Linked DNA regions of Xenopus tropicalis. The protein of the gene in region 2 interacts with the protein of the main gene of each other region in a pairwise test. Links are inferred from orthologs where the notes say so. Each region holds a gene or a part of one and is shown on either strand. Other genes may lie near its edges. The genes, in order: arhgef3.2, trim23, nek6, trim29, ube2i, lgals8 and gem.

The links.
Region 1: the proteins of trim23 (region 2) and arhgef3.2 interact in binary tests that used the Homo sapiens proteins (3 or more experiments, as listed by UniProt). The link is inferred for Xenopus tropicalis from reciprocal best matches to the Homo sapiens genes TRIM23 and ARHGEF3.
Region 3: the proteins of trim23 (region 2) and nek6 interact in binary tests that used the Homo sapiens proteins (3 or more experiments, as listed by UniProt). The link is inferred for Xenopus tropicalis from reciprocal best matches to the Homo sapiens genes TRIM23 and NEK6.
Region 4: the proteins of trim23 (region 2) and trim29 interact in binary tests that used the Homo sapiens proteins (3 or more experiments, as listed by UniProt). The link is inferred for Xenopus tropicalis from reciprocal best matches to the Homo sapiens genes TRIM23 and TRIM29.
Region 5: the proteins of trim23 (region 2) and ube2i interact in a two-hybrid assay, tested with the Homo sapiens proteins (3 studies listed by BioGRID and IntAct). The link is inferred for Xenopus tropicalis from reciprocal best matches to the Homo sapiens genes TRIM23 and UBE2I.
Region 6: the proteins of trim23 (region 2) and lgals8 interact in binary tests that used the Homo sapiens proteins (3 or more experiments, as listed by UniProt). The link is inferred for Xenopus tropicalis from reciprocal best matches to the Homo sapiens genes TRIM23 and LGALS8.
Region 7: the proteins of trim23 (region 2) and gem interact in binary tests that used the Homo sapiens proteins (3 or more experiments, as listed by UniProt). The two-hybrid records come from large-scale screens. The link is inferred for Xenopus tropicalis from reciprocal best matches to the Homo sapiens genes TRIM23 and GEM.

The regions. Positions count from the first base shown.
Region 1 is NC_030680.2:148,936,559-148,940,058, reverse strand, and holds part of arhgef3.2 (rho guanine nucleotide exchange factor 3), read right to left. Parts: intron 1,622-3,500; coding exon 1,451-1,621; intron 1-1,450. UniProt on the Homo sapiens protein: Acts as a guanine nucleotide exchange factor (GEF) for RhoA and RhoB GTPases.
Region 2 is NC_030677.2:187,794,819-187,798,318, reverse strand, and holds part of trim23 (E3 ubiquitin-protein ligase TRIM23), read right to left. Parts: intron 3,270-3,500; coding exon 3,054-3,269; intron 2,144-3,053; coding exon 2,009-2,143; intron 1,396-2,008; coding exon 1,266-1,395; intron 466-1,265; coding exon 355-465; intron 1-354.
Region 3 is NC_030684.2:29,296,823-29,301,052, forward strand, and holds the start of nek6 (serine/threonine-protein kinase Nek6), read right to left. Parts: upstream 2,801-4,230; 5' UTR 2,751-2,800; intron 1-2,750. UniProt on the Homo sapiens protein: Protein kinase which plays an important role in mitotic cell cycle progression. Required for chromosome segregation at metaphase-anaphase transition, robust mitotic spindle formation and cytokinesis.
Region 4 is NC_030683.2:79,169,478-79,172,977, reverse strand, and holds part of trim29 (tripartite motif-containing protein 29), read right to left. Parts: intron 1,729-3,500; coding exon 1,542-1,728; intron 1-1,541.
Region 5 is NC_030685.2:28,777,798-28,782,002, reverse strand, and holds the start of ube2i (SUMO-conjugating enzyme UBC9), read left to right. Parts: upstream 1-1,405; 5' UTR 1,406-1,414; coding exon 1,415-1,480; intron 1,481-1,645; coding exon 1,646-1,729; intron 1,730-2,793; coding exon 2,794-2,866; intron 2,867-4,205. UniProt on the Homo sapiens protein: Accepts the ubiquitin-like proteins SUMO1, SUMO2, SUMO3, SUMO4 and SUMO1P1/SUMO5 from the UBLE1A-UBLE1B E1 complex and catalyzes their covalent attachment to other proteins with the help of an E3 ligase such as RANBP2, CBX4 and ZNF451.
Region 6 is NC_030681.2:41,510,304-41,513,634, forward strand, and holds part of lgals8 (galectin-8), read right to left. Parts: coding exon 3,302-3,331; intron 1,792-3,301; coding exon 1,735-1,791; intron 1,645-1,734; coding exon 1,618-1,644; intron 627-1,617; coding exon 538-626; intron 1-537.
Region 7 is NC_030682.2:127,877,549-127,881,584, reverse strand, and holds the start of gem (GTP-binding protein GEM), read left to right. Parts: upstream 1-1,236; 5' UTR 1,237-1,297; intron 1,298-3,211; 5' UTR 3,212-3,221; coding exon 3,222-3,561; intron 3,562-4,036. UniProt on the Homo sapiens protein: Could be a regulatory protein, possibly participating in receptor-mediated signal transduction at the plasma membrane. Has guanine nucleotide-binding activity but undetectable intrinsic GTPase activity.

The DNA.
Region 1 (3,500 bases), on a different chromosome or scaffold from region 2:
CATTCACAGGTACATGTTAACACCTAAAAAATGCTGCTCTCGCTTCCTGTGTGATAACTGAAGAACAGGCTCATCTCGCTTTGAGTTACAGGAAACCAGACCATAGCGTGCCTACCTTCTACTTCCTCTCCTTTACTCCTCCGGCGCACCACAAAGCAGTGCCTTACGGTCACAGATAACCTGCTAGTAGGGACTTCCCCCCCCTGTTTAACTAAGAAATCTACTTCATTTGAAGAAGGTGCAAGGGTTTTACACTTGGGATCAAGCTCCCAATGAGCGGCTGCTGGGGGGCTGCTAGTTATTCCCCCCGAATATTAATAGCAGGTACACAAATATCAATCTAGTAATCTGGATAAAGAAACATAACAATTTAGACGAGGGTACTGTGTAAAGAACAGAAGTATACTGAAGAATATTGCACACTAATGGTATCTGCTAAGCAGATCTGCTATTGGCATGGGTATTCTTCCTTCCTTAAATACTGGGATATTATTCTATTCTCAGATACCACTGTTGAGCCCTATTTGTGGGTTTTCTTCCCTTCTTGGTGAGCATTATACTTTGGCATTTTTCCAATTCTGGGTATCATCGGTGAACCCTAGTCTTGGGTATTCTGCCCTTGTTGGATACCATTGGCGAGCTCTACTCTTCAGTATTCTTTTGTTCTTGGATACCACTGGCGATCCCTATTCTTGGGTATTCTTTTGTTCTTGGATACCCTTGGTGAGCCCTACTCTTGGGTATTCTTTTGTTCTTGGATACCCTTGATGAGCCGTACTCTTGGGTATTATTTTGTTCTTGGATACCCTTGATGAGCCGTACTCTTGGGTATTATTTTGTTCTTGGATACCCTTGGTGAGCCCTATTCTTGGGTATTCTTTTGTTGTCAGATACCATTATCAAGCCCTACTCTTGGGTATTCTGTTGTTCTTGGATACCAATGGTGTGCCCTACTCTTGGGTATTCTTCCAATTCTGGATGTCATTGGATGAACTGGATGAACCTTGGGTGTTCTTTCCTTCTTGGATACTACTGGTGAGCCCTATTCTTGGGTATTTTTTTGTTCTTGGATACCATTAGTAAACCCTACTCTTGGGTATTCTTCCAATATTTGATATAATGGTCACAAAATTCCAACATAACTTCTAATATCCTTATATTCCTTCACAATACTAAAATTTCATTCAGTTATCTGACTCTAGTGACCTCACTAAACCATGATTATATGCATATGTATTATATTTCAGGTTATTTGTGGCTTTTATGGTATTATACTGGATGAAAGAGGAAACTAGGTGGGAACTGGGGGTTTAAACTGATTGATGTGCGATTCCTTTCTCCAGCTGCCATGTAATGACTGCCACCGACACATGCTAAGAAACCCACTCACAATATGTCAAGATTTTTTTTGTTTTAACAAGAAGTAATTCGGTGAGGGGCCTAAGCCTACCTCCTGTCTCTTGATCTCTTGGGATGTGAGCACTTGATTGACGCAGACATCAAAGGTCTCGCTCCAGAGCTTGCTGTCTCGGCGCTTGGTGATCGGAGGGGGTGCATTTCTTGACCAGGGACGCGGGGTGAACAAATCAGGCCGGCTGTCACTTCGGAAACTGATGGAGCGCTGGAAACGTAAAACAGTGATGGGGTGAGCACATATAATGAGGCAACATATAATTGGCTGCTACAGTCGCATATTAAGTATGGCTTTGAAATGGTAATATAGTATATACTGCTTTTTTAATGGTTTCTGATTATGCAAGTGTAGACTGGGCTGGAGTTTATGTTGGGGCTCAAGATGTTTATATGTGGTATAATAGGGTCCCAGTCTACCAATAGCTGAAGGCTTATTGTCTGCCCAATTAGAAAGAGGAAGGGAAAGGGAAGGCCAGAAGGAATGCATAAACACTGTAGTGGTTTTTGGGCGCATCGTGGCCATGTCCCCATTTAGTCCTGGCTCTGACCAGTTTATCTGAGGTGCTTTTCAATGTGGGAAGTAGGAGACTGTTACTATGGTTGACCAGGAAAAAAGGGCCCAAAACCAGACGGCTCAACCAGGCGGTTTAGTAAACCCTTTTGAATTGATATTGAGCCGCCTGGTTTTGGGCCTTTTTTTCCTGGTCGACCATAGTAACAGTCTCCTACTTCCCACATCGAAAAGCATCTCAGATATACTGGTCAGAGCCAGGACTAAATGGGGATGTGGCCACAATGCCACATGTTGGATGTTGTTGCAATGTGTATAGTGAGGAATATAAGTGATGTGATTGGTTTATTAGTCTGTGGGCACATTAATATGTCACATTGTGATTGGGTGTGACAGGGGTGGGCATAGGGCTCTCTATAAACAGACTTTTGCCTTCAGTTGGTCAACACAGATCCATTTAGTATTTAGATGAAACTGGGCCAAGACCTTAGTTCCCCCATATGGCTTCCGCCTTGACACTCAAACAGCTACAGTTCAATACTAACCATGCCACCCTTGTGTTGTTGCTAAACTATAACTCCCTGCACTTTCAGCCAATACAGTAGAACAGCCGCAGGGCCGCACAGTTCCATATCTCACTGTCATTTTGCAGGATTCTCCCCAACGCCGGGCCTGTGCAAATAAGCTTCAGGGAACCCTCGGCCGCATATTCTCAGGCTGCCGATTGTAAGTGGAAACAGCTTTGGGAAAATCGCTCGCTGTGAAAACGTCTGCACTAAATCCTTAGTATAAAGAAAGCCATGGTTCGGGGCCCAGAGAGAACAGCTGTGTGCGTGACGTTGCAGGGCCGTCTAGTCAAAACATCATTTGCCGAGTACACTGGGGGCTCACAACTGTAACCAATAAACCCTTTCTTCCAGGGGGGGAGGCGTTTGACCACTTCAGTGGAAAGGGATTAAATGGCAGTTCCCTGAACGGCAAGCAGAGAGGTCAGGGCTGGGGAAGGTGGGAACATTACGAGCCACTGAGAATATGGAGAATATAAGTTCTTGTCACGCAATCGGCCGCTCTCCCCATTAAACAAAGCCTGGGATGAGGTCAGCGCCGTCCTGCCCCGGCCGCTCTGCTATAAATGCCGGCTTTGTACGGCCCCCAAAACACAACCATATGGCACACAGGGATACTTGAGTCAAACAAGCCAACCAAGGTGTACGTCCTACTCCAAATTAAACACATCACAGGACCCGCGGCTTTATGGGATTTTTTTTCTTTTTCCTCTTCACAGAGAAAAGCTCAGTGTAACACTCAGCGCGATTTAGTCAAATAATTCTGGCTTCCACTTCTGCCTCAAAATGAGACATTATTTCATTGTGTATAATAAGGGCACAGCTGCGATCCTAGTGTTATGCTTAGCCGAGCTGCCTAAAGGGGTTCCAAAAAGGGGCCCCGCAGCACACCAGATGGAAATAGACTGTGAGATTGTGGTATAACAGGTAGGGCGAGACAGTAGGGCAAGATGGAGACAGCAGGGCGAGATGGAGACAGTAGGGCAAGATGGAGACAGCAGGGCAAGATG
Region 2 (3,500 bases):
TTGTCATGAATTGGTTTTCTATTGGGAACATAACAACAGAATTGAAAAAGAGCATTAAATACAGGAGGTGCCCAGAGGCAGAATACGGCAGAAACACCCCATAGCAACCATAAATCAAATGGTCATGGGTATAAAGTACGCTAGTACTTTAGTGATGCTGACAGGAGAGACTATAAAAAGAAGCCAGTTTCTTAAGAGTGACAATAGTCTCAAGGGACATTTAGGGAACTTACTTAAACACTGCTTTATAAACATTTAGGAACCCAAACTGTTAATCTGGTCTGTAGCACAGCACATGTGCCAAAGGCCAAACAGCATTAGACTGCAGTGCCTAGCAGCACATGGCCTCCTTACCTTGGGTATTAAGGTAATAATGTTTCCACAGTGGCCTAAGTTTGTGTTTGCCTCCAACATCCCAAATTGTAAACTTCAGGTTTTTGTATTCGACAGTCTCCACATTAAAACCTTTAAAAAAATAAGATTTCTGTAAACCACAAAAAGAAACAGTAAGGTGCAACTAGAAACTGTGGTAGCAAGCAAAGCCTGTCACTGGTAGGTATCAGCAGTCAGTGCACCCTACAGAGCAAGCAGAATGGTTAATGGTTTGCTTCACAAGCACAGGGATATGTGCCATTAAAGGTAAATATACAGTATATATAATCATTTATTTAGAATAATAAAGAGCCATTCTTCCCCAAATCTAAGCCTAACTGTCCTTTAGTGTGGGCCCCCTGCCATGGATCTGGTTCCCCCTAGGTGGGCCACCCCTACAGTATGGGAACCACTTCATTAGAGGCACTGATCTCCATAGCAGCATGTCAAAGCTTAGTTATTATAAGTAACCCTGGGAACAAAGATAGCTGCAAATAACAAAAAGCATTTCAGAATATTATTGTAACTAGGTATCAGGGTCATAAATATCTCTGCTCATACTATTGTAGTACAAGAAACACAACTCACTGAAAGTGTATTACAGTGTAACTATGGAAATAGCGATTTTCATGCACCCCTGATAGGAAGCTGCCTGACATATGCAGGGAGTTGCTGAAAGTCCTGTAGTTCAGTTACTGCTGAAGAAGTGTGTTACAGATACAGATGGGAAAGACTTTCACTTACACACAGGTTTACAGACAGACACAATAACTACAAGGTCTTATTATACATTTGCCCTACAGGGAAGTTTATAACCTAGTACATGTCATTTACAGAATCTAGATATATATATTTGTTTTGAGACCAGCCAATAGCTAGGAGACACTACGCACCAATTGTTGGGATGGGTTGCATGAACTCATCTTGTTTTAGCTTAAACAAAATGGTGGTTTTTCCTGCTCCATCTAATCCCAATGTCACAACACGAATTTCCATTTTTGGGCCAATATGAACTCTATTATCCTGCAAATTAAAGGGCAAAATATTATTTCAATTTTGTAAAGCATCAACATGTCCCTGCATTACTATTACAAAACAGACAAGAACATAAGCCTAGACACAAGTAGTCCTGCTTCAGCATACAAATCACCTCTTTCTGATGGATTTTTATGATCACATGCGAGTCTTCTGAACAAACAATATGGTGGGGTAAGTAGAAGGATGAGAGCAATCTAGTCATCTACCTGCCTAGCCAAACTTTTAGCTATTTTGCAGTTATAAAGTTTACATCTTCTTTGAATCCTAATATTTACCCACACATTCTCTATTATACTGAAGCCTGTGTTTGAGCTAAGTCACTTTAGGACACATTTTATTTGAATTCACTCATTTTCACTTTCAGCATAACAAAATCATCATCCCAAAGCCCAGTCTGGCATTCCTCCAGCTTGTGTACCACCATATTCACCCTTAGTCTGTAAAAACCTCCCCTATCATGCTACAGAACATTCCAAAATATAACCCTGTCGATGTGATTTACTGCAGAGATATTTACACTGCAGCAGCGTATGATATGAAATAAGAATGCCCAAAGTTAGGTTTAGTTTGCCCAAAGACATTATAGGATACAACTTGCCTTTGTGAATGTGACAGGGATACTGGAGTCCAGTTGGATGTGATCTGCAAGGTCTGTAAACTGCTGCTGCTGTTTCTGTAAAGTCTCTAAAAGTCGCGTAATCTCCTGCTTGGCAAGCACCACTCTGCAGTCATCCTGTGGCACAGCAATAATGGGTGTCACTTTTAATATTATATATACACATATATTTTTTTAGGAGAAACCATACTGATTGCTTTAGCCGAGCCATTGCCATAAATTACAGCAAAAGTTCTTTCTCTTTGAATCTCTTGCTTCTGTGGACTATTAAAAATAAATAAAAATGCTGGAGTGTTAAACTAATTCTAAGGGCTCTGGCACACGGGGAGATTAGTCGCCTGCAACAAATCTCCTTTGTCACGGGCGACTAATCTCCCCGAACTACCATCCCACTTGCGAAAATGTAAGTCGCCGGTGGGATGGCACACGCTGCGCAGACGATTTCGGCAAATCACCGAAAATGCCTCGCAAGGCAACTTCGCCGATTTGCCAAAATCGCCTGCCCAGCGTGTGCCATCCCACCGACGACTTACCTTTTCGCAGGCGACTAATCTCCCCCTGTGCCAGAGCCTTTAGGGGGTAATTTAACAACAGTTGAGTTCGATTTTTTCAAATGTCTGGTATTTATTAAGTGCATGAAACCCGAAAGCCATCTAAAAGCTTGCGAGTTTCTATAGAAGTCAATAGGAGTCATAAGCAAAGCCAGGCCATATCTCACTTTTTTGAGTTTGTAAACTCGAAAAATCTAAGATATTCAAGTTTTTTTATTCGAACAAGTTTTCCTTTTTGATAAATAAGCACTTATATGTTTGTGATATTATCATGTATTCTGGACAAGCTGCTAGCATGCTGTATGTTCTAACCAATGTTACGACTCTTCTTTATAAATCCAACTGAATGTGAAGCCCAAAAGGGATACATATAGAAACCATATGTATCAGTGTAAATACGCAGAAAAGTGTTTCCTTAGAGTCCTTTAGCAAAGGCAAGGTGTGGCATGCTGGGAATGCTCACAAGTGCTGGATACCTGCTGGAGAGCCTTCTCGCAGTGCAGACAAGCAGTTGACACTTCAGACAAGAGAATAGTCATGTTTTCCTGCTGCTGCCGAAGCCACATTAGCTGTTCTCTCACATGGGCATCAACGACACTGAGGGCCATTTCTTCCTGGCGGCAAAGTGTTTCATGTAGGTCGGAAAAATAGGCTCTGACACAGGACCGGGCATTCTCAGCGGTTCCGGGAACCTATTCAATGGTACAGAATAAGGATTGCGAGATGTTTAAACCAAGCATATCCCAAAAAGCGTGTCTACAAGCCATTAGTGATATTAAAGGCAATGCATAGAGAATAATAATGCACATTTTGTTGCCAGTCTGTCATCTATTTGTGTATGTGGCCAGAAAAGACCATCAGGTAACCTTAAGAAGTGACCTGACTGGCTTTTCTCCGTGCTTTTTTTTGGAGGCCCCAAATCT
Region 3 (4,230 bases), on a different chromosome or scaffold from region 2:
TGAGCACTATCGTAATAGGGCAGAGGATCTCTAGGGCAGAGGATCATGAAAGAAACTGCACCACTTTTCACCAGACAGAAGCACCAGCCTAGGGTCTAAGGCAGTGGTTCTCAACCTGTGGGTCAGGGGTCACCTAAGACCATCGTAAAACACATATTTCCAATGGTCTTGGGAATAATTTTTTGGTTGGAGGTCACAACAACATGAGGAACTGTATTAAAGGGTCGCGGAATTAGGAAGGTTGAGAACCACTGGTCTAAGGTAAATGAAAATATTCACTTGAAATTTGCAACTTTTTGATACATGAGTCAAGTTTTCCACTTCCCCTTATGACAAAAACAGCACTATAGACAGAAATCAAAGTAATAGTTGCAGGCAGTATAGACCCAGAACACTGTGGCCTAGTCAGCAATAGACATTAAGTACACCTAAAAATTGTCAGCCACTCAGTGCCAGGCAGTACAGAATGCAGCACAAAACTCATTACCCAGCTGTATGTACAGAGAAAATTGTGCAAACACTTTGTATGGGCACAGAAAGCTGTGCCCAATTGAGTGCCAAACAGCAAAGACACCAATACAATTGCACAGATACTCAGTGCCAAGTAGGACACAGGACCAGCCAGAAAAAGAAATGCCCAACTCTTTGCAAGACAGTAATTTGGGCACATATTTAGCGTTAGGTAAATATGCATAAAAAGTTGTGCACATACTCAGTGCAGACAGTATGCACTCTGTCCAACTCATTGTAAAGCAGTGTATACTCATGAATAAATGCGCACACACAGTCTCAGTGCCGGGTTGTATATGCATAAAAAGCTGTGTACATTTAACATAAATAAAGCTATAAAATAGGAATATACACAAAAAGGTGGCTAACTTAGTCCTTGTCAAGTATACTGTATACACAGAAATTGGTGCAATCACTTTTAAACATTATTATTTATTATTATTAACATTTATTTATAAAGTGCCAACATATTCTGCAGCACTGTACAATAAGACATAAATTTTTCTACCTGGTGAAAAATGCCAACATGGTGCAATACTGAGCGTAGTTTCTATTGCAACATAGGGGTACAATTCCCTTGAATACACATTGGCCTCAGGACCACACTGGCCACAACAGGGTACAGGTATTGGACCCCTTATCTGGAAACCCATTATGCAGAAAGTTCCGAATTACGGATAGGCCGTCCATTTTAATCACATAATTCACATTTTTAAAAATGGTTTCCTTTTTCTCTCTAATAATAAAACAGTACCTTGTATTTGATCCCAACTAAGATATAATTACCCCTTATTGGGGGCAGAACAGCCCTAGTGGGTTTATTTCATGGTTAAATGATTCCCTTTTCTCTGTAATAATAAAACAGTACCTGTACTTGATCCTAACTAAGATATAATTACCCCTTATTGGGGGCAGAACAGCCCTATTGGGTTTATTTAATGGTTAAATAATTCCCTTTTCTCTGTAATAATAAAACAGTACCTGTACTTGATCCCAACTAAGATATAATTACCCCTTATTGGGGGCAGAACAGCCCTATTGGGTTTATTTAATGGTTAAATGATTCCTTTTTCTCTGTAATAATAAAACAGTACCTGTACTTGATCCCAACTAAGATATAATTACCCCTTATTGGGGGCAGAACAGCCCTATTGGGTTTATTTCATGGTTAAATGATTCCCTTTTCTCTGTAATAATAAAACAGTACCTGTACTTGATCCCAACTAAGATATAATTACCCCTTATTGGGGGCAGAACAGCCCTATTGGGTTTATTTCATGGTTAAATGATTCCCTTTTCTCTGTAATAATAAAACAGTACCTGTACTTGATCCCAACTAAGTTATAATTACCCCTTATTGGGGGCAGAACAGCCCTATTGGGTTTATTTAATGGTTAAATGATTCCCTTTTCTCTGTAATAATAAAACAGTACCTGTACTTGATCCCAACTAAGATATAATTACCCCTTATTGGGGGCAGAACAGCCCTATTGGGTTTATTTAATGGTTAAATGATTCCCTTTTCTCTATAATAATAAAACAGTACCTGTACTTGATCCCAACTAAGATATAATTACCCCTTATTGGGGGCAGAACAGCCCTATTGGGTTTATTTAATGGTTAAATGATTCCTTTTTCTCTGTAATAATAAAACAGTACCTGTACTTGATCCCAACTAAGATATAATTACCCCTTATTGGGGGCAGAACAATCCTGTTAGGTTTAATTACTGTTTAAATAATTTTATTAGCAGATTTAAGGTAGGAGATCCGAATTACGGAAAGAACCCTTATCTGGAAAACCCCAGGTCCTGAGCATTCTGGATAACAAGTCCCATACTTGTACCAGTACCAAAACATCAACTGAAAAGTGTCAGTAATCCCCTAACTTTCTGCAGAAAATGACCCCCCTGCCCAGCACATCTGTTGCCCAAGCTGATAGCCAGAGCAGCGCACACACATCGCATTTTAACATCACACTTAAAGGCGCAAAGTACAGTAGGAAATGCTTTTACTTGATTTACTATTAGGGACCCTTCAGCTTTGCAAGCAGATAAGAGTTCCGCTTCTTGTATGATGAAAGTAGGGAAAAGGAAACAGGGAGAGATAACTTACTATACACAGAATTGCACACAGCTGCTCTCTGTCAGGGAGGACAGTGGGATAAAAGACATTCCAGAATCCCCACTGTTCCACCTGTTGCTAAAGTAACTTTATGAAAGTAGCGTCGGTCTGACATACCTTCAACTCTGCCCCAAAGCTCCCGCTTCCTGTTAGCGCTGCCCGCTCAGTGTCATCTCTGCAGCAATGACAGGCTTAAGCCTCCCTGAGAAGCGGACTGACTGGAGTAAGCGCAGGATGCAATGCGCACTTCTATTGGCCTAGAGTTAGGGCTCCTGATTGGCTGTCTGTCATGCACAAAAGACGCCATTGGCTGTGTATAAAAAGTAGCCAATTAGAATCCATTTTAAAACAACTACCAATTCATTGTTTGGAAGTAACTTTCTCACATAGTAGGAACTCCTGCAGTTTGTTGTTGGGCTGACTTGCGGATGTGCAGCCGGTACTTATACAAATAAAAGCTCCTACTGCATGAGAAATGTGACAGTGCTGAAGTAGGAGTCCTTGTGGAAATGTCTGAATTTCCCTTTTGGCTGTGGTTGCCACCTGGCCACAGGAAATGACTCTTAAAGTAAAATTGTTACTGAAAGCTGGAATTTATTATGCATTTCAGTTCTCTGGTTATAAGGGTCATTTATTACTAGAGTTGCTATCTGGATATCGTTTGCTGCAAATGTTTACAGGGAAGACGGTTTAAAATATAAGAAGACCAGTATTATTTCCAGAAAAGGTGGCAACCATATTTACAACGTAGGGCGCAAAGCATACCTACATTTGAAAAAACGTGAGGTGACGGTGGAAATTTTGCCTGTTTTCGCTTTGTATCCATTCCCTCAAAATATCACTCCTAAATAAAAACAACACTTTTTTTTCTACACAGTGCAGTTTTAAAGGGGACCTGTCACTCAGTCATAAAAATTGTATAATAAAAGTTTTTTTTCACAGTAAACATGAAACCCTAATTCCTTTATTCGTTAAACACATACATACCCATTATAAAGGCATTTAGAAATCTCAGCTGTCAATCATATATTGCCTTCCCCGCCCTTATGCCTTAGGCATAGAAGCAGGGCAGACAATTACCTTCACTCAGGGGCGGGCCGAGCTGACCGGGCCCCCTAGGCAACCCGGTCGGCTACCTCGCCCCTGCACCTACATCACGCACCCCCCCATGTGTTTTGATGCGCATGCGCAGTTCACGCCTGGGGGGGGGCCCGGCGCAGTGTGCGATGCAAAGCAGCACGGCGCACAACAGCTGACCGGGTACTAGGGGTAGGCAGGCGAGGCTTCTGCCTGGCACCCCCCAATCGTTGCGCCCTAGGCAGCTGCCTCATCTGCCTACCCCTAGTTCCGGCCCTGCCTTCACTTTCTATTTGACACTCACATTCCCCCTTCCTCTTCACCATCTCACTATGTAGCCAGTACATGAGCATGGGCATTAGGTCCCCATTCTGGCACATAAACTAGAATTTGCTTGCCTTAATAACTGCCCACAAAATGGCAGCTGCCTGCTTGCTGTGATTGTGTAATTCCTAGACTGAAGGAAACATAATTTATATTATTTATATAGTGTCAGTGAAGATTATTTTGCTTGTCAAAC
Region 4 (3,500 bases), on a different chromosome or scaffold from region 2:
TTAAATGCTATTAAAATTATAGGAGTTTGTTTGCATTTTATTACATAGCTATATTTTATCACAAAAAGTAGTACAGTAGTATTATCTTGAATGCTTGGGAGCTGCTGTTTCTACTGTTTTCTGCTGATTTTTTCCCCCCAAAATTTGGAACCAAATGCTGTAAGGCTACAAAAAAAATAGTAGCCTGACTATAGATGGTTAATGGGTTTATAGATAATTGATCCCATACCTGTACTTTAGCACCTCTGTACTTTAACATCCCATGGAAAGTTTTTAAAGCTCAAAAGTGAGATGATTTAAATATGCGTGGAAACCACCGGAGAATCCCGCTGCTACACTTCATAAATAGGCACCATTTAAGTAAGTTACATTTTCTAAGAATATAATTTACAGTATAATTTTAACACTGTAAACATTATTCATTCATAAACATTAATCTAGCTGCCTAGTTGTTTGGGTGTGAGCTGTATATCCCTGTGTAATTTCTCAAAACCAAGCATTCTTATTTTCATGTATACTTTGTTCTAGTCAGTTGGCCCCCTCTAGTGCCTTTTGTCTATTTGTTTCACTTTATTCCAACTTTCAGTGTCATTTGTTTTTATGAAACATTATATTCTGTAAATTGCTTTGGAAATGCCCACACTTTATAAGTAAGTTCAGCTTATAATTAGCCAGTTTTTATTTTAAATGCTGTATTGGAATTTTTTTATGGAATTTCATGACACAAATAATATCTATAAACAAATGTATATAGATGCAAATTTATGCAAAATCACTACGGTCAAATCAGGTCACAGTTCAATTTCCAAGAACAATATTGCAAAAGTCTATGAAAAATCTGTTTCATTTCTGGTGTCTTCCAAAAAGGGAGGTGACTTGGTTAATAAAGAAACAGCATGCCAAGGAAATAACTGCTAGCGTTGACATAAATTTCAGAAAAAGCAATTAAGTCCCCCACATGCCACCTATGTTCTGTGCAACATCCTGAGAAATTGAGAACAGCAGATTTAAATAGCTGTTTATTACTGGCAAAAAAATAGATTTTCACTGCTCCACGCACAAATTGATGAGCATGAACTGTACAAAGCTGGATTCATTAAATATGAACTACAAAGGTCTATGTGGTTCAAGGGCACAAAGCCTGTACGCTTTACTCTCCCACTGGTATTTATTAGGAGGGTTTATATATTTATAAGCATAAATATGCTGCAACTGGAGAGCAACAGAGAAGTTAAAAGAGTGTAGTACCTAATGAGTAGGGAACAGCAACCCATTACCAGAAAATATTGTATTGACATATACACCCTTACAGCTACATTAATGGAAGCACTAAAGAAATATTGAGTTCAAGGGTGATCGGGGCATTTAATATTTATGCTAAGGAATATATTTTAAACATATCCATAAAGTAAATATAAAATGCACCGTGTCCTTTCTCTGGTGTTTTCCCTCAGCATAATACCAGTTACTGGGTATTTGCTTGGATCTGCTGTTTTCTCTCGTTTGACTTTATTTACTGGTTTGTGCTCGTGGGTTCTTACCATTCTTTTCAACCAAATTCTTTGATGCCTCATTCTTGCTGTATTTATCTACATGTTTCCTGCAGTTTGCCGCTAGTTCCTCTTTCAAACTTCCCATGGCATGAGTCAGCTTTTCTCCATCCAATGTAACTGTATAGGTAGGCAATGGAGGGATTGGGGGTGCATTTCTGATCACTATCTGAAACTCCTTTAGAAAGAAAAAAATGTTTAAAATATTAGCATCACTAATTTTATAAACTGGGGAGAAAGAAGAAAATGACCATCATAAAGCCCTGTCGAGACCCTGCAACATCAGCTCCTGTCTAATCTAACAGCTGTTTTATGTGTTTGATGTGTTTGATGTGGCTGCTGTGCCTACTTACCTTTGTGTAAGGTTTAATTAGAATCAGTACTGAGATTAACTGGCCCCCTGCATTTTTCACACCTCAGATTCAGGCTGTAAACCCCTGAATTGTTTAAACATGTAATCCCCTGTACTGTTCACACATTTTAGTCCCTGCATTGTTCAAGCACTGCATTGTTCACACCTAAGGCATAGTATGGCACACACAGGCAGGGTAGGGCAAACATAGTATGGCACACAAAGGCAGAGTATTCTGCCTGCCCTATGCTGCCTGTGTGTGGCATACTATGCCTGCCCTATGCTGTCTGTGTGTGCCATACTTTGCCTGCCCAATGCTGCATGTGTGTGCCATACTCTCCCTGCCCTATGCTGCCTGTGTGTTCCATACTCTGCCTGCCCTGTGCTGCCTGTGGGAGGTGAACTTGGTCAGGTTTTGTTTGGGAGTTTGTTAACATTTGGAAATAGTCATTATATGGTCCCTAAGGTGTATAATTATGTGCTGGGGGTTGCTATGCTATCCACAGGGGAAGAGGAGGCATAAGGGTTTAAATGTATGTTTTAATATGACATAATATAATCCTTTCACATATGAATGAAGGCTGATATCTCTACAGTAAGCACCAACCATTTGAGTTCTTGCTGTGCTACCACCAGTAATGTGGGTATAGTCTTAAAAGCTCTTGTGATATTATGGGTGTGGTTTGAAGTGGGTGCAATTTAAAAACGGGGAGCGGTCAAAATTGACTTCCATTATTGGCCCTCCACCATTTAGGCCAGAAAAATTCTGGCCCTCCGTACCACAGAAGTTGGACAGCACTGGCAGTTATGCATCTTATTCTTAAACTTCTAAGGATTTGAATTAAAATTAACTTGGTACCTTCTGTGGTGCCCCAAAAATATAATTAAAGCAGAATGAGATTCAGACAAGTTATTTTTCAATCTTAGCAGCTATTATAAAGCAAGCCACCAACTGTGCATATTGTGCATTTGTATTCCTCTAAAAGAATAGCTTTTAACAAATTGTTCTACATTTTACAAAGGAGCAGATGTTTAGGTTCACTGGATCTTTATCTCACTCCTAGAGAAGAGATTTGCTCATTTTTGCTGAAGATACAGTTACTATGTACAGGCCTTTGTGGGGCTTTTTAGCCACAAAGCACAGCTGATCTCTTCACCTGAGAAATGATTTGAAAGGTAATAGCATTTTTGTGATTTAGCAAGGTGTTCAGGCACCAAGCTGGGAGACTTTGCTGCACATTTCTAGTGCAGACCGACATATTTATACAATCTGTTTTAACCTTTTGGAGTATCAGCTTTGAAATGCCATGAGATGAAATGATTTAGGAAAAGCACTGGATAATAACCTTAAGGGAGGAATATTAATAAACATTGGGCATCTATTTACAAGAGAAACTAGATGGTTGGCTATTTTCCAGAACTGTAACATTTGAAAGAGTGATTACTTTGAGGGCAAAGTGTAATTTTGGCAGAGTGAAAAATTAAAAGGGTGATTCCCTCTAAAGGAAGCAAGTTCTTTTAGAAATGAAAGTTTTTACTAGCTGAGTCCCACGCAAAGGTCCTGTTGAACTTAAAGATAATGTGTACTAGCAAGGGAT
Region 5 (4,205 bases), on a different chromosome or scaffold from region 2:
GAACAGAAGCCACTGTATGTGCTGGCTAATGAATTCTTGTGAGTGGCTTGGTCATGGAGTCGGTAATGGCTGGGACAGCAGGGGGCGCTGTTGGTATAATGTTCATAGCCTGTATGCCCTAAAGTTTACCCAATAAATTTGCGATATCATTGCTTAGTGACTTGCAAGCTGTTATTTTGAGACTTTTCCATCCTTGCCATACATCCTGCTATTTACTACAACCATCCTAATAATAATGTTGTAGTTTAGTGGTCCCCAAATTCTGGGGCTTCTCAGGGAGGGAGGGGGGGGGGGCATGGGGTCAGCTTGCCGGCACGCGTGCAGCATGGAATTGCTAAAGTATTAATTTTCATGCCCAAATCTACCTGTCAGCGCACACGTAAAGGAAAGGAAGGCAACAGGTTGGTTTTCTCTGCTGGCATACCATGCCACCGCTGAACTTGGCACTTGTGGTCCAAAAACTGTCCAGTTGCCATAGCAGAGCACAGCAAACTCTTTGCAGTGACAGGCAGCCTCTACTCTGAAATGCTTGCTTTGGCATAGCCCGCTGCTGCCAGTGCCAGCACCCATAACCATAGGAAGAGCATTACCCAGTGTGTGCTGCAGCAAGCAGTGCCACACCTTTGTGTGAGTTTTGACCTCAGAGGATGGGAGTGGCAATTATTGACGGCTCCAGATGAGTTTTCTGGGTGATTCCTTTTGGTACATGCGTCACCAAGTGACAGAATTCAGAATTTAATATTAGTTATGCATTGGAAATGTGTTGATGTAAATCTCAATATGAAGGAAAATCCTTGTGGGTGGGGGACTTAACTGTGACAGCCTACTCAATGCTGGGCCAGGAGCTGCCATTTACACATTTGGATTTGCGCTTACCGCACTAATATGCCTTTTATATGCGCTCTTAGACTGTTATACCAAACAGCCTGGGAAGCATTGCAGGGTTCCTTGTACAGTGTTTATGATGTGCAAGTAGGGTGTATCTTGGATTATTATCCTGATATCTGTGGTACGTATAATATAAAGGGTTACATTTATATTATGCTGCAATGGTCACAAACCGTAATTTTGCCCCATGAGGTAAGAATACAAATACTCCAGTGTTAACAAAACTCTACAAAATGACATTTACCTTTTAAAGTTGCTCTAAGAATAATATATGTTTACACTAATGTGGAAAAGTGGTGGTTTTACTGCCTTTACAGGACGCATTAATGCTTTTGACTCTTTACTGCCTCGGTAATAAGCATATACGTTTCATATTCAGATTACTAGAGTTCAACCACTAGGTGTCACTGTCATGCAAGTTTTTGGATACATTGCAGTAAGTTTGCTTATTTTCTGTTTAAACTATGTTTGGTTATGTATACTGTTATTTCACCAGTATTAATTTCTTTTCTGCAGGAACCCTGAAATGTCTGGCATAGCCCTGAGCAGACTTGCACAGGAGAGAAAAGCGTGGAGAAAAGACCATCCTTTTGTAAGTTCAAGAAAGTGAAAAACTAACCAGAACAGTGTTCTCTTCAAGAAATAGTATAAGTAGTTTAAAAAAAAAAATCCTAAATTGTTAAACTGCCCTGCCCTTTTAAGATGCAAACAACTTAAAAACTAATACTTTGGGGGTTTTTTTCTTATCTATTTTAAGGGTTTTGTGGCAGTACCAACGAAAAATCCAGATGGCACAATGAATTTGATGAACTGGGAATGTGCTATTCCAGGCAAGAAAGGGGTAAGTGTTAGAATCCTTCCCTGAAACAGCAGTACAGAATTTCTACCTAGCAGTGCTCCCTTGATACCATAAAATAGCCAAATAAGTGAAGCAACCTTCTGCAACCTTGCATAACCAATGTACAACCTTAACACACTTACATTCAGGTGTAGCTGCAGTTAGCAGGTATTGCACTTTGCTTGGTTACAGGATGCACCATTGCCTGGCACCCAGGGGCTGTGACACATGCAACCCTATGGAACACTCGAAGGAAACATGCAGGGGGGGCAGTTTTATATCCTACATCTGATCACATTACCAGCTTGTAAATGCTGTTTAGGTGTAAAAGGACAACCTTTCATGCACTGAACTAACACGTATGCACTATGCTACATGTCTGAGGACAGATTATAATGGCTGTGGATGAATCCTAGGCCATTAAAATCCCTTGAAGGACCACATCCAGCCCATGGAGCTTAAAAATATCCACTAAACCTCCTGTTTATTGACTTTGGGGACTGAAATGCCCCAGGGTCTGCAAGTGGAGTGAGGTGAATTGTGATTGGCAGCAGTTAGGTTTGCTGCACTGGGCTTAATGGAACCCATCTGAGCAGGGCAGCAAAATAGCTTCTGTGTTTGGTGCTAAAATGACGCTTGGTCATTTAAACATGATTTACTCTATTTATACAAATGTTTCCCTTTTAAATAAGCCACAACTACCCATCTGCTGTGTGACTACATATTCCTCAGGGGAGATGAAGGGTTCAAACTCTCTAGTGGCTGTGTGAGCTGTAATAAACACTACAGACTGCAATAACATGCAATTTCACTTCATGGCTCCTCCAGCCAATCCTCCTTACCAGGAGCAGGAATGGTTTGTTTTTTTTGCAATCTGTCACCATAGTACCTGCAAAAATATTTTAAAAAAGACTAGAGTGAAATTGGTGACCTATGAAGAATATTGTCTCTTGGAGAGAAAAAAAATAGTTTAATGTCCTGGTTATGGACTATATTAAATCTGTTTATAAACCAGTGATTCTACCCATAACTTATATCTGCAATTTCATTTTTTCTTCTTCTTGCAGACCCCTTGGGAAGGTGGCTTATTTAAATTACGGATGCTTTTTAAGGATGATTATCCCTCCTCACCTCCTAAATGTAAGTGCCTTAATTCCTAAATCCCTTCCTTTAAAACCAGTGCTTCTCTTGTTAGAAGCATGTGTATAGGGCAGGGTGATGATTGCCTATCCCAAGGAAATGGAGATAAAAGATTGGCACTGTAATGCTCTGAAGGCTCATTCCCATGATGCTTTACCTTAGAAATTGCTCTGTTTTTGTTTTTTTGTGCTGGTGAATAATAGATTCAAGGCTCTCTGAGTAAACTACATGGTCAAAAGTATGCTGACACTAAAGATTCGGCAGCTAATCGGCCCGTGTATGGGCAGAACCGAGCGGCCTGGCCGACCGATATCTGGCCTGAAATTGGCCAGATCTCAATCGGCCAGGTTAGAAAATCCAGTCGGATCGGGGACCGCATCGGCTCGTTGATGTGGTCCCCGAACCGACTGCCCCATGCCCCATACTCGCATATATACGGTACATAGATGCTGGTGAAATGCGATCGCTGCGCGCGCACCTACACCCCTTCCTCCGTGGGCCACCTGCACGCGCGGCATCATACGTGCAGATTCAGACATGCGGCAATGCTCAGACGTGCCTGGATACAACTGCTTTATGCATAGGAAAGTGACGAGCAGCGCCAGCATCGGCTACTCACCAGGAACGAGCACAGTCAGGCACCGATGCGACACGCATCGGCGGCGGTATCAGACCGCCTATGGATATGTGACAGCAAGTGTAAGAAATGGCTGTAATATATATATATATATATAATATTATAAGTCCCCTTTCCTAACTGGCTCCGTCACATTATGAACATGGGCATAAAGACATTAAAATTCTGAAGTGTGTCAGCACTGCTCAAAATTTGCTCCCTTGATCCCATGTCCTTTTTCTACTTAAAGGGATATTATCATGATTTTGTTTATTCTGTAATACTATTACACTGTGCGCTTTGCAAATAATTCCTCCTACCATTTCAAACTCCAGCTAATTTCAAACTAATTAATGTTTGGTTTTTTTGTCATCAATCTCAATTTATTGTGCATGGTCGTTTGCTTGCAGTATGTTCTTCAGACACTACTGACTGGTATTCAATTCTTATCTTATTTTTCTCCTTGTCTTCTTTTAAAGGAACAGTAACACCAAAAAATGAAAGTGTATAAAAGTAACTAAAATATAATGTGCTGCTGCCCTGCACTGGTAAAAGTTGTGTGTTTACTTCAGAAAGTCTACTATAATTTATATAAATAAGCTGCTGTGTAGCCATGGGGGCAGCCATTCAAAGGAGAAAAGGCACAGGCACATAGCAGATAACAGATAAAACACTATTGTATTCTACAGAGCTTATCTGTTATCTGCTATGTAACCTGTGCCT
Region 6 (3,331 bases), on a different chromosome or scaffold from region 2:
AAACAAAAATGTTTTGTTTTTTTCTTATTTGTTGTATTGAACAGTGATCAATAGTGAAATTAACTCAAATGAAAATTAATGGGTTAAAGAGGACAAAACACAATACAATTAACTGCTTACAGCAGAAAAAAAATGAGAAACTGAAACTGCAACACTGTGTAATAAACTTTTTTGGGGGGGCAAAATAACACAAAATACAAAAATATTTTAAAAAGTATATTTGTGTATGTATATATCATATACATGTGTGTGTGTGTGTGTGTGTGAATGTGTGTGAGCTCAGAGTGCCAAAAACCCTCAAAAAGTGTGTGCTAATAAAACAATATTAGGCAGAATGATCAAATTCCTATTTGGGCTCAGATCCCTTTAAAATACAAACTATATACTGGAAACATACATCTGGTAGATTGTTGTGGGTAAGTGGACAGAATAAAAGGTAAAGTGCCATTAGTAAGAAAGTGAAGAAAATGTGTGGTAATGCACATGATTCACAAAGGTTTTTGATTTACTTTAGTATTTGTATAAAAAGGGTTTCACCTCTTAGCATACTTGTGTACTTCTCCTTTAATGACCACAGTCTTCCCAGGGATGAGAGCACTAGGAAGGCATCCTGTATAAGGAACAGACTAAATAAAAAAAAGAGAATATGTTAGGGTCACGTATGTTTGTTAGAACTGTGCACAAATCAACACATCTTACATGTTTATTGGTGAAATGTTAAATATCATTAAATTGAGCAAAATAAACTTTACTTAAACTAAAATGATTTATATCTTGTTATATCTTGTTAAAGTTGCTAAGAACATACTGAATGTTCATTTGAAGGTGAACTACCCCCTTAATGCAAGTTTGGCATCACCCCCAAATCTTGTGAAAAATGTGTGAAAATGGAGGTCCTGAAGCCCATTTTCATGCTGCACAATTTTAGGGTGTGAGGAGGGAGAGGGAATGTGAGGACTGGAGGGATATATAGGGAGTGCTGAATGGAAAAGCAATATAGGATATCTCAGATCTTTTAACATATTTATAACAGGTATGGATGATTTAATAAGAAAAAGAATTTGGGCTTCATGTTTATTTTGCATTTTTTATCATTTAATTTTTATTATACAGCTTTTTATGTCTGGGTGACTCAGTAACTGCAACTTCCATCACATTTAGTTACTGGTTAACTACATTTCCCTAACAGGTTGGACAGCTACATGCTGTGACTAATATTACAGGCTATTTGGCACTAGCACAAACTTTTAGAATCCAAACTTTCTCTAATAACAAATTATTTGTAATGCCTCTCAACCCCCTAAAATCATAACAGTTCCCCATTCCTAACAGTTAACAGGGTGTGCTTTTCTTCAACCAAGTCTGTTTTCCAAGCATACCTGTGGTGATTGGCCGAGTTACATGTTTTACACATTAGGCTTAGTTACAAAGAGCTAAAACTGCTGTTTAGCAAAAATGGATGCATTAAAGGGGACCTGGCACCCAGACAGTCCTTTGCAAATAAACATGAAACAGGATATTCATGGCTCTTGGTTAATATATAAATAAATTGTTATGGCTTGAGATCATTACGAAACATTTTATTCCAATGTTATTTCCTTGCTCAAAAGCACTTACAAAGGTCAGCAGCTTTTCTGATCTTCCCTGTTTGTAATTAAAAAAGAAAACAACAGCATGAGAGATAGAACAGCATATGAAGTCCTGTCTTTTATTTTAATATCTAAACTATTTTACCTGATTTCCTTCTATGCTGTTTACAGCAAAAGATGTTGGCTGTGAACCCAGAATTGTCTAAAATGAACGAAGAATATTTTCATAAAAGCAAATGGCAAGCATACAATACACACAAAAAGCCAAAATGAAGCACAGAATAAATGATATTTCTCAGTAACAAAACTGGTTTTGTACATTATTACAATGAAAATCTTAAGGGTCATTTACAATGAACCATGGAAAATGCAAAGTACATGAAAAGGCAACAACCTATGCACTTTGTACACTGCATGGTGCATTGTGTAAGTAGCCGAGACCTGTAGCCTGCAGATTGAATCAAGTGCTGCCTGTGTTAGGCAGATCTTAAACCAAGAGGGGCAGGCAGAGGGTAGTACACAGACATACACCTGCCCCTATCACCCCTATCAGGATGTGCATGGTCTAACCCAGCGTTTTTCAACCACTGTTCCGCGGCACACTAGTGTGCCGCGAGATGTTGCCTGGTGTGCCGTAGGCAGGGCACCAATGTACTAGGGGGGCACTGCTCTTGGCACCAATGTACTAGGGGGGCACTGCTGCTGGGCACCAATGTACTAGGGGGGCACTGCTCTTGGCACCAATGTACTAGGGGGCACTGCTGCTGGGCACCAATGTACTAGGGGGGCACTGCTGCTGGGCACAGAGTTAAATTTTTTAACATTTTCTAATGGTGGTGTGCCTCGTGATTTTTTTCATGAAACAAGTGTGCCTTTGCCCAAAAAAGGTTGAAAAACACTGGTCTAACCTGCACAACCTTACCGCCTGCCTTTGGTGTGCCTTCTGGCAGCTTACTCAGGCTCTTAAGTGAGCACTAACCTTAGCACCCTAGCACTTGCACCCCAGGGTATTGTAAATGACCCCTCACTTTTAGTAGCAAGTTATGACTTAAAGTGCACATATAACCCTGTATTTGTTTCCCTTACAAGAGGTGCAAGCTAATAAGGCCCACATTCAGGTTAGGGAAAACAATAGCAGACAGCCTGTTCCAATATTTTTCGATTTCATTAATACAAGTCCTGCAGCATGGCTTCCGAGAAGGAGGCCTTGAAAACCAACCAAATGGACAAACCCTAAAGAATAGGCTGAGATGGGCTAAAAGAAGCCAAAAAGCCCACAACAATGCATAAAATGCAGTAAAAACCTTCCCAAAACAGGAGGTATTATCTTTACATGCTGTATGCTACATATATCATTACCTTGAAACCAAAAATGAGAGGCTTTAACCAGGGTGGAAACATGCAAATAAATACTGCATGGGGGACAACTGTGTTACGGGTGGCTGCTATATTCATGTCAGGAAAGCATCAGCCACCATGAAACCATGTGCATTCACTCACTGTTGCTAAAACACAGGGTGTAAAACCTCATTACATCCACTGCATGGGCATTTTTCTATTTCTACTGCATTTATTACCTGCTATTTGGGGGAATACTGGTGACAAAGGACAATGGTAATGGATAAGTTACATACATGTGCTTCACAAATACATGCAGGTATGGGCACAATTAACCCATTCCTATGGGTGGAAATATATGTATTCATACTTACTGGTTGAGATAAAAATCCAATTGAATTAAT
Region 7 (4,036 bases), on a different chromosome or scaffold from region 2:
AATGTTGGCATGCCTAAATATCTGTCATTATTTACATCAAGGAGGTCTAACTTGCAGCATTTTTGCAATTGTGAAACCCCAGTCGAGAAAAAGAACATGATTATAATTTATTTTGCTGCAAAAATCAAGCACAAATAATAATAAATCAGCCCCAAAGAAGCAATGTAGTCATAATGTATATTTAAATGTACAACAGCATGGCCTAGAGCAGCATAAAGAGTAAATCCTCTGTGGCTACATCACTTACAAATTGCCCACCAGGTAGTGTATTTTTTATACAGGTATAGGATCTGTTATATGGAAACCCATTATCCAGAAATCTCCGAATTACGGTAAGGTTGTCTCCCATAGACTCCATTTTAATAAAATAATTCAAAATTGTAAAACATATTTCCTTTTTCTCTGTAATAATAAAACAGTACCTGTACTTCATCCCAATTAAGATATAATTAATCCTTATTGGAGGCAAAACAATCCTGTTGGGTTTATTTTACGTTAAAATGATTTTTTTTAGTAGACTCAAGTTATGGAGATACAAATTACAGAACAATCCATTATCCAAAAAACCCCAGGTCCCGAGCATTCTGGATAATAAGTCCCATAGCCAAATACGCAATGTGCTTTTAATGTAACAGCCACCCCCAAAATATTTTAAAGAATTACTACCCCTATTGGGTTTATTTAATGTTTAAATGCTTTTTTTTTTGGAGATCCAAATTACAGAAACATTCCTTAGCTAGAAAAAACCAGGACTTTAGGATCCTGGATAACAGGTCCCATACCTGTACTCGAACTAAACATGGCTGGACTCTCTATGGACCCCTGCACAGGTAATAAAGACAGAGTAGGATTTAGGACACCCCATTATTGTACCACCCCCACACAGCTAATGTATTGCCCCATTCTATTTGTTCCTTAATTCACTGTAATTCATTTCCAAGTTGCTTTGCTGCCATTCTGGACCATATAATTTTACTGGAAAATGAATGAGTGGAGTTCTAGTGGCTAAATGATTTCTTGCTGCCTGTGTGAGTGCACAGGAGGTTCCGCTCCAGCCTCCCCGGCCACTCTCCTGCTGCAGTGGGCTGGTGTAATGCTCATCGTGACATCACGGAAAAGCCCTGTCTCCCAGCCACCGAGCTTAATATAAACCAGAGGAGCTGAGAAAGAATTAGAGAAAGTCAGGGAAACGGACAAGCAGCACTTTATCCAACTATTCTATTCCCTGAGAGATCTCTCTATTCTACACTCAGGACTCCAGGCTCAGGGGGAGAGTATAAGGGGACAAGCAATAAAGGTAAGTGCTTCCCAAAATGCTCATTTATAGATGAATTCCTGTGGAGTATAGTGATCAGATACACTTCTGCTATGAACAAAGCCAAACCAATCTCAATAGTTATATGGAATGGCACACACCAACTAAATGTTCATAATATTCATAATTACTCCCTCGATCATTATCATTGTGTGTATATAGTACAGGTATCGGACCCCCTTATCCGGAAACCCGTTATCCAGAAAGCTCCGAATTACGGAATGCCCATCTCCCATAGACTCCATTTTAAGCAAATAATTCAGAATTTTAAAACTGATTTCCTTTTTCTATGTAGAAATAAAACAGTACCTTGTAATTGATTCCAACTAAGATATAATTAATCCTTATTGGATGCAAAACAATCCTATTGGGTTTAATTAATGTTTTATTGATTTTTTAGTAGACTTAAGGCATTGAGATCCAAATTACGGAAAGACCCCTTATCCGGAATACCCTTGGTCCCGAGCATTCTGGATAATGGGTCCTATACCTGTACTATCAATTGACAGCATGCATTAGAATCATTAATACAGGGGTCTTATTATGATGCACAGAATTGTGGCACTTTAAAGTGTAATTTGTTGGGAAAGGAATAGGTTTCATGTGCTTGGCATACAGTTTAATTAGAGCAAATTGTATATACAGGTATGGGATCCATTATCCAGAAACCCATTATCTAGAAAACTCCAAATTACAGAAAATTCTGCTCCCATTTTAATCTAATAATTCAAACTTTTAAAAATGATTTTGATGATTAATGATTGATGATGATTAATGGTTCATTTTTCTCTGTAATAATAAAACAGTACCTTGTACTTGGTCCCAACTAAGATATCATTTATCCTTAATGGGGGCAAAACAATCCTATTGGGTTTATTTAATGTTAAAATTATTTTTTAGTAGCTTTAAGTCATGGAGATCCAAATTACAGAACAATCCTTTATTCAGAAAGCCCCAGGTCCCGAGCATTCTGGATAATAGGTCCCATACCTGTATTGTGTACTGTTCGTAAAAGGAAAATTAAAGCTATAATAGTGACAATAAAAGCACATTGCATATTTAGGTGTAACAGCCACCCCCCAAAAATATTTTAAAGAATTATTTTTGCATTGTTTTAATAACATTTTATATGAAAGTTGGGCTTAAAGACAACAAATCTTTGCATGCCATAATGATTGATAGAGCTGCTATCCAAATAACTGCAAACTGTTTATTATTCTATATGTAACTGCAAAAATTCGGAATGAGTTTCTGGGGTGCTGCTAGGTCTGCGCAAATAACCTTACTAAACATGGTAGTCGATTGGAGCAGTGTAATTTGCACCCCAGCAGCAAAGCGCGACTCTCAGATGCCACAGCAAGCCATGTTTAGACAATAGAAGCCTAACCTCCTTGACTGAGCTGATTTGTTGATTTAAACACTGTGAATTTATGGACCTTTTATTGAACACGTGTGCGGCCACTAGTGGTGATCCTGGGTACTGACAAAGCTGGAATTCTTTGAGGGGCAGCTTTGTAGCACAAGATCCTGGAGACTCAATAGTTTGGGGATCCAAATCCCTGCAATAAGATTTGTGTTCTGGCTGTCCCAGACTTGCGGTGGGTTGCTAAACACACAAATACTTCTAAAATATTTTATCAAAAATGGCAGCCAGAATTTGCACTATAATTGTTGTTAAACTACAATTCCAGCACCCACCAGCCAAAGGGAGTTGCTGGTAGTTGTAGCTCACCAACTACTGATGGGCTGCAGGCTGAGAAGCACTTATCTTAAAGGAATACTGTCATAGACAGTTAATAGAGCTTCTCCAGCATTGAGTCCTGCATTGACATCTGGTTTTTTTTTGCTAGAAAAGTGCTGCAACTTTTACAAGTTTTGTTACATTGTCCCCCACAGCCAGAGAACGATGACTTTGAATGTGACCATGCGTCGCAGCAACACCACGGCCAATGTACAGCAGCGATGGAGCATCCCGGCTGATGCAAAGAACATTCACGCTCAGAAAAAGCAGCACTCTAACCTCACCCGCAAATACACCGCCAATAACACAAGCATCAATAACTCAGCGGAGTACTGCCGGAGAAGCTGGTCATCTGACTCTTCCGACTCCGTCATCTCTTCTGAGTCTGGGAGTACCTACTACCGGGTGGTGCTGATTGGGGAGCAAGGAGTTGGGAAGTCTACTCTGGCTAATATATTTGCAGGGGTGCCTGATTCTGTGGATGGTGACTGCGATATGTTAGCAGGTAAGGTCACAATTAATGCATCCAACAAACCAGCCAACAGCTAGCCTTCTTTAAATATAATGTTGTTTGAGTTCCCATGTAATATGGCCAAATATTGGACGCCCAATTTGCACAAAACTCCCAGCAGATCTGGATGTCTGAAAACTGTTCTTACTACTAACTACTAAGTTTGGACAGATCTACTTTTGCTATGGACACCAACCACCACTAAAACTGCCCTATGCTGTCTTGTTATACTTGTCTTGTTTCACTTGATAAAGGGCTTTGCCCAAAACATGTAGTGGAACACACTAATAAACACTAATTGCAGCAAAGCCCTGCAGTGTCAGGTGTCCTCCATTATCTTATATGATGTCTACATGCAATTAGTGCTACAACAGGAGCACAGGAGTGATAGCCTGCTTGAATGAGGTAGCTGAACTGGAATACTGGATTTGGAAAGTTTTTGTTATATGGTCTAAACAGTCTGGTCTCT